Tribolium castaneum: one gene and its partner. The protein of the gene in region 2 interacts with the protein of the main gene of each other region in a biochemical or structural test. Links are inferred from orthologs where the notes say so. Each region holds a gene or a part of one and is shown on either strand. Other genes may lie near its edges.

The links.
Region 1: the proteins of PlexA (region 2) and Sema1a form a complex in vitro, tested with the Drosophila melanogaster proteins (2 studies listed by BioGRID). The link is inferred for Tribolium castaneum from reciprocal best matches to the Drosophila melanogaster genes PlexA and Sema1a.

What each region holds. Positions count from the first base shown.
Region 1 is NC_087396.1:10,643,115-10,647,256, reverse strand, and holds the start of Sema1a (semaphorin-1A), read right to left. Parts: upstream 2,847-4,142; 5' UTR 2,614-2,846; intron 1-2,613. Other genes in the region: fanconi-associated nuclease 1, read right to left, coding at 3,607-3,659, 3,709-4,142. UniProt on the Drosophila melanogaster protein: Involved in growth cone guidance through its role in axonal repulsion. Function in neurons is essential for adult survival, motor neuron survival, and is important for climbing behavior and activity.
Region 2 is NC_087403.1:8,409,949-8,414,070, forward strand, and holds the start of PlexA (plexin-A2), read right to left. Parts: upstream 2,867-4,122; 5' UTR 2,430-2,866; intron 1-2,429. Other genes in the region: band 4.1-like protein 4, read right to left, coding at 3,834-3,962, 4,048-4,093.

The sequences.
Region 1 (4,142 bases), on a different chromosome or scaffold from region 2:
TATTCACCGATGGTACCCAGTCTTTTTATATGTTCGCTTATAAAGTAACTTGAACTGGGCGAAAAAAATCACTCATCGTCAAGACTGATTTGCATCTGAATGTGCAGAAAACAAAATGTACAGCAAAGTTTTCCTTCCAGTCGAAGAATTATTAAAACTTGGAAGAAAAGTAAAAGACTGTCTTTATTAACACGAAACGTAGCAAGAATACAAGTCGGGGGAATTAACAGATTATCATAATCGGTTCAATGAGAGCTCGAATATTGGAACGTTCCCTAATTGGTAAATTCATTAGAATATACTTAACACAAATCACGTAATTCCACAAATCCTGTTTCACCAAACTCCCAGCTGATTAAGCTAATAAAAAATTCCAACTTTTCTAAATAGGCGCCCAATCCCCTAAATAAAGAAAACCATTAACTCTGTTTCTAAACGAAGCTTGAATTATGTTCTTACGTTATTAGTTTCTAGCCCTTTTAATAATAATCAATGTTTTAATAGCTTAGCGCTGCATTAAAAAAATAAGTCTTCGGTTCCCATAAAACCGTTACTGCCTTTGTTTGTGTTAAAATTGGTTCGGCCATTAAAAGCAATTAAAATGCAGTGGCAGAATATTTATTCTCTATTGCAGTATGCAAATTCAGGTAGTGTTATTCAAACTTCAAAGTGTCGCACGCAATAGTGCTCTGTTTACCTATGGATATTTCAATATCTGCTAATAAAGCTTCGTTGCCTGCATTACCTCCAATGGCTTTATACCCACGTATAATGAGACCAGAACGAAGAATTGCATAATCCCCATAATCAATTTGCAATAGGTTAATTAGCCCCATTGTAGCGTAAGGTAATTGTTGATTGAAAAACTGGTTTGAGATGGTAGTACAAAAAATAACAAATTGGAAATAGAAATCCGGTAATTAATACGTTCTTACTATAATTTGGGTTCAAAACTGTAACGTACCTTATTATTTCATCCGGGTTTCCCGACAAGTAAAAACTCTTTTGACGATGTAGAAAAGAAAACAATTTACAATATCACCACCCAAAAAACGAAAAAACAGATGGCATATGGGAAGCCGAGAATTCCCACATGCTCCCATCACATTTTCGATAGCCGAAGACATGTACGAGACAATAAAACGCAACCGACAACAATTTTGTTAAATTCTTAGACAACAAATAAAAAATAATTTCAAATTTTTGTGAAAACTGAAATTTACTGGAGTTTAGCAAAGTTGAACTCTAACTTTTAAAAATAACTTTAGGAAAGAAATTCCAAAAGACAATCGTTATAACTTTTGGATATTACGTAGTAAGTCAATCAATGGTAACTAACATAATTTTAGCAAATAAAATAATTAGAAAAAAATATACTCAAATATTTATAGAATCATGATCTATCCATACAATCAAGGTCTCTAAACGAATCACTGACTATAAAAATAAATATGATACATAGCGTACTTTCCATAAATAAGAAAAATTAATACGTGGAGCAAAAAATGTCGATAAATCAACCTGTGGACAATAATTCCCAGACCTAATAAAGATATTAATTTCCCGGGTAATAAGATAGGTTCGAGGATAGGTTGTTTACATTAACATTAAAAATAAATTACTGTTGTAATAATTTCTATGCAAATAATGCTACAGTTGTATCATAATCATTCGTAATGGCAACAATTTATATTCCAAAGAATGTATTGTTGATAATGTGAACGTTACACCTTCCTAAGCTCCAAACATGTAGATATTTACCTCGATATTTAGGTACTACAGTAAAGATGTAATCAACTTTTCAAAGAAATAAGTCATTAAGACACTTTAGAGTAACTAAAGTCTCATTTAAACGTAGTTAATGGTCTATGCACCTAATATTTAAACACTCCACTGAACCGAAAAAATGTAAACAAGATTTACTTTTACCTCGACTTTTACTTCGTACATTGGATATTAGTATGAGACCGTTGACCTTTTACGTATGTTTTGTTGTACTCCTTGAGTTCATTCAATTCAATAACTAGTGTTACAACCAACCACAAGATTGTGTGAGTCATTAGGAGAAAGAAGAAAAAACCCAACGATCCTGCTATTGTTCCGAATTCGGTATCTTATTATTAAAACCGTTTCAACATTTAAATGTAATGTTACTTTCTTGAAACTTATGGCAAAAACGCAGCACAAAATTGCACATTTTACTGTACTTGCACCGTTATGTAACTCAAAGAGTGCCAATAAGTATTTATTCCCAAGTTAGTATCAATCTGACCGTTAGGTTTATCTTGTGACATCCAGGATGAATCCGCTTCATCAATGAATGAATGGAATGATAAACAAGTAGAAAATTATGTTTACAATTCCTTTATGACAGCCAAACATAAATAGCGATCAAGAATTCTACTGAAGTAAAAAATGAAACTTGGGGTCAAATAAAATGTGATATGTACCATGTGTAACGTGCTGGTGTTAAATCGTCAGATGTTCAAGATGTGCTATGACTTTCAATCAACTAAAGCTGGACTTTGTGTCCCTGACAATTTTCTTAAGAACTCCCGCTCTTTACCCAACAATGCATTACCACGAGGAAAATAAATGATGAACAGAACTTACAACAATCAGATTAATGGCATATCCCATTAAAAAACTTCATCCCTTGACTGCATCATAACAGTGGTCGTGAGGGTGTTGGAGGGAAGCCTTCCGGCATTCGCACTATGCAAACTTAACAGAATTACAACTGAGAGACACACGCGCGGACATGAAGAGTATCTTTTCATTTAAAAACATCCATGTTTTCTTTTAGGAAATATAAACACAAATACATGAGCATATTGACATCATGGAACGCGCTTGCCCGACAACAGCACTTCTGCGTGGTGCTCGGAACTGCGCTGGTGGAGGACTACTTCTTCCGGGGCTGCGCCATCTGCACAGCAGCAACTGCACTATGCCCGGAGTCGCAACAGTTTACTCCAGAAAAATTACTCCTCAAAGCCTTCCTCCACATGTACTCAAATAGGGAATATACAAAGAAAACCTTTCTAACGTTTCCTTTATTGTATGTTAATTGATAAGATTTAGGTTGTAAAGGAGATAGCAGCTGATTTTTTGAAGCACTTTTACCTGGTCCTAACAAAATTTTGTGGCAATCTAGTGCAAATTCATAATAACTTTACACATTTGAATTTTCTGTTTTTAGAAAGACTGTTAATAATCTCTGGGAAGCAAAAACAAAAAATATGGGGTTCCATAGAATTTTTGAAGTTATTTAGTTGTTACAAATTCCTTAATTTTTTGAGTTTTTTTTTTCTTTCGTGAGAATATAACGCTTTCATGGGATATTTAAAGGATGGAAAAATATATTTTATATTATACTTATACTTGTCTGCACTTACTAACTTAGTACTTATCTTTTAAACAGATCGAAACCCTTGAGTCAAAAAATCCCAAGAAGAGGCAAGAGAAACAACAAAAAGTTCAACAATTCTTTATTAAAAAATAACAAATACGTTAATTCTCAAAACTCAAAAACATAAAATACACTTAAGATAAATTACATAATAAATCGGTATAAGAACGTATAAAAATATAAGTCTTTAATATCTAATGGCACGCTGCGGCGACACTTCTCTTAAACTGTTTTTTCGTGGCTTTGGCTAAAAAACACAAAATGACTCACAACCCCCAGTACAGATTTATACTCACGTTCAACTCTACAAACTTCCACAGAAGCCCCGCTATCACACAAATAGTTCAACCACAACTTCTGCTTAATTGAGAGTTTATCATTTTCCCCCTTAACTTCGACAAATTTCGCCCTTCCCTCCTCAACATTCCACACAATCAAGTCGGGAAACCCACTTTGGTAAACCTTAAAATTTTGCACCAGTCTTTCGAAAATTTTAGCGAGCACAGGTCGCCCAATGCACATTATCACATCAAAAATATGGTCAGATTTAGGCACCGCGGCCTCAATCACAGAATTTTCGTGCGAATGTAAGTCCCAAGCGCGCGATAACTTCGTCCTTAATTCAATGTTCTTCCACTTGTCTCGAATCTCGTCCAGTCGCTTTTGAATCGAGCGTTCTCTGTTCTTGTAAAAGTAGGGCGTATGCATGTCCAAGGGGGCACTTTGTACG
Region 2 (4,122 bases):
GTTCTCAAATTAAATAATCGAATTTCGTACATTATCTACCATTCATGTTTTCAAGTCTGCACAGTGTTTCGTTTTCTGCATTAAACTGCAAAGCACATCTAGACGTGAGTTTAAAGTAACGCATAAAATTCATGTCTTTGTTAGCGGTAATTTTCCAAAAAAATGCGTTCTGATAATTACAAAAATTAAATAAAAAAGTTATAAAAAAATAAAATACAGTTATACTGTTGTTGACTTATTTCGTAAATATTTTTAAATACAATCACTTCTGATAAAATAAGACAAGATCAGAAGAAAAAAACTCTCCGTGTAATTTTCGCTAACATTTTTATTTTATTTAATTTTTGATGTTATAGAAGGTAAAAAAAATCCAAAAAACTCTGGATTAAGTTTAATGGTTACTGGGTTATCACATAAGAAGCTTCATTGTACTGTGTAACTAACTTATATTTGACTACAGTAGACATAATTATTACGATCCAGCTTAAATCGAACGATATGTATAAGTTTATAACACAGTAGAAATATATACTTTATATCTTTCAAAAACCGTCTTCTTTTCTACACTTAGCATTGTGAAATTAGATGGTTATAACAAACGCGAATTGAAAACGAAAAAGCCAAACTATAAAAAAACGATATTACGTGTATATTGGTTTAAAATATATATCAAAAACACATACGTAAGACGAAAAAAAGATAACCAACATTAAGCAAATAGCGCTCTTTATGTGCTAAATAAAAAATACAGCAAAACCTCTACAATCAGAACTAATTGCAGTGGACAACAAAATTTGTTTATAATATAAATTACAGTAAAACCTCTCAACAACGGACACCGATAAAAAACCTTTAATTGTCCGTTGTGAAGAGGTGTCCGTTATGGGAGGTTTCACTGTATATATCAAAATTATTTTTTAAATGAAAGATAATAACAATAAAACAATAACAATAAAAACTAAGTAAATTAATTATATTAATCCATGTACATTGTTGCGCTTATTTAAAAAGTTTTCCTTTTTCTGATCTTGTCAGAACATTTTGAAAGGTTTTGGTGAAACAAAAGTTACAATTAATAATTTCTTGAATGGTTCTTTTGTGCACGCCAAACCATAGGTTTAGCAAACGGCATAGCAATGCCCTTTTAGTTTAACCAGCGTCTTAAACAGGTTTAAATATGTCACTTAACATGATTCTTCGTTTTTACTCGTAGTAATAAAGAAATTACGCGCACATACAGTGAAATTTAATATATTTTTATACAAATATTTGCCTAATGATTGTTTTCCGAGGCCTGACGTGATAGCCAATTTGGCATAAAAAAGACGTACTAGATATTAAAAAAAAACATGTTGACCAGTGTTAGCGTTATTGCATGAGATTCCCCGGACTTTTACCAACCTTTATTGTTTACATTGTAGATAGGTATTACTTTTTCGTTTTTGGTTTAAACATAATAACAAAAGTCAAAACACAGCAACGCATGCAAATCCTTCATGCAAGCTGGAATGTCGTTCTTGTCCAAATACTTTGTTGTGTTTACAGGTTAGCGTACATTAGAATTCTCTGTTCAATATCTCAGTCATGTGTTTTCTTAAATTTGGTTTGTTTTTCGTTAAAACCGTAGCCACAACGGTCATAAGCGATAATTCCAGTTATATCTTACGAAAAAACGCCCTGGTAATTTTCGAAAGCCGAAACAGTTTTCGTGTTTTTGAGGCTGATTAAAAATGTAGGATTGTTTTTCCCCATGATTTGGTCGTTAAATGGCTTTCGGTGTAGCATTTCGTGTGGAAGAAAAATGTTGCATTTGGCCCGCCAGTCCAAATAGCAATTTCTGCCGGCTAAATGCAATGCAACAATTTAATTGATTATTTGTGTAGTTTGGCCAAAAATGGATTTGGGCAACGCGCGCTAATGCAATGAAAACAACAGAGGTGTGTTTGGAAATGTGTGAAATGTAAGGAAAAGTGATGATTGCATCTGTCATAGGGTAACCGGGTCCACAGTGGGTTGGTTGTTGCCGGGAGTGTACTTGGATGAATGACAAAGAATGAGTACAGTCACATTTGCCGGTGAATAGTACAATCCAGGGGAGGGGACTCCGGTTAAATGAAACATATGTTTACAATCTTTAAGAATTTAATCACACGGATGTGTCAATCGGACCGTTTTGCGCGAGATGGTCCATTTGAGGACGTAAGACAGTTTCGGTTTGGTGAATGGGACGAGTAAAGTGTCGTGACGGGGGAAATCGATAAATACGGCCAAAATATTACGGAATTGCAAGTAAACGGATGCTGGGTTCAGTCTGGACCAAGTCACGGAATGCAGCTGGTGACCAGCAGCACCAACAAATGTGCCCCGCACTTTACATAGCCTGGCGATTTGACGATAGCACTTAGTTAATGCAATTACACTCCATTTACCTATATAGTGTCCATTTCCCATAGGAAGTGAAACTCAGTGCAACCCACTTACACACATTACACTTTAAGGTTACATCCACAGTTCGGACCCGAAATCACGACACGGGTGTCTCACAACCGCCGTGCACTTGTCTCATCCACGACCGGAGCTCTAGGTGGACAACATACTGGTCTGAACTTCACTGCATCTGTGGAAACTATTTAGGTTAGGATCAGTCCCGTCCACAATATCGCTCTAAGCTTCGACGTGCACTCTGCTGGCGGTCCAAACTCAGCTATAGCCCCGGTTTCAGTCGCCCAGTCTCTACCATTTGGCCAGTATTACTTAGAATTGAACACAATACCGGTATCACCAACTTTACCCAGCAACGAAACACCCTTCAACACAACAACCGCGTTATTAGACTTGTTCAAAAACTGAAGCTAGCCGTACACCCCACCCTGGCCCGACTGTGCCCCCTGCGCATGCGCTCACCTGTTATTCATGGGCGTTTGTGCTAAATATTCCAAAACTTTGCTCTCCTTCTTCAGAAATGGCAAATTTTCACAAAGAACGCTTTTTTCACCGGGGCCGAAACCGCCCCCGGAAGGGCGCCCCCCCAGCCCCCGAGCCCGGCGCACTAAACGCCAGAAATGACACCAAATGCTAACTCCACCATTTGCATACCATAAAAATTCAAAATCTTCGCCATAGAGATGGGGGCACACCGGCGATTATTAAACCCGACTAATCTTGTTTATATCGATTTAAGCGTTGTCTGCCTGTGTCAATATTTTTATTTATGCATGATTATACGCCTGTCCCCGAGCTATGCGTAAACCATTCCACAAGATCCGGAAATAAACAATTGGCCAGCTTTTGCACAATTCGAAAGTTGGGGCACATTTGAATTTCTAAGCTTGTTTGCGGCACCTGCTTCGCAACGAGATTAAAAACCAATTTTGCAAGTTCCGCGTGTAAAAAATAATATAGCTGATTTTTTATGTCGCCTTAAAGCCAGAGTCAGGGCCGTAACAGTAAGCTCGCCGTAAAATTCTTGTGTGGGTAGTTAAACCCGGCAACGCCCAGGTATACAACCATGTATACACCTTGAACCATTTGCATTGCTAACAATAACAGTTCAACAAGTTGGGGCCGCTGCTTTAATAATTAAACGCGGATTTTTCGGCGAATGCCGGGCCTAATTCAGAATAAACAAAGCAGAAGGCTTGTCCCGTAAATCGGCGAAGAAAATCGGATAAAATCGTTCCAGCCCTGCGCTCACATTAGAGCAGCCCTTGGATGGAAATTGTGCAGATTAAAGAGATCATTATTCGGGTCTCGCAACAAAAAACGCCCGGTGATATTATAATTTAATGTCATAATAAAATTACATGAAATTATTTGGATCGCTAGAGTATGAGTTACAGCTCGGTGCTCATTTCCGACAAATCTACCGCTGCAGTAGCTTCACTGGCGCCGCCTCCTTCTGAATTTGCTTGTGGTAACGCATTGTGTTCAGTAACATTTGATAATCTCTCTGGACCTGAAACCTTCCAATAGTGTCGATTTTAAAACCATTGATTGAGTTGTTAAAGAACGGATCCAACACTCAACCAAAGTAGCAAAAATACTCACTAGTAAATAATCCTCGACGTTGTTAAATCCGTTCCGTTCGTTGGACCTGCAACAGTGATTGAGTTGGTGTTTCAA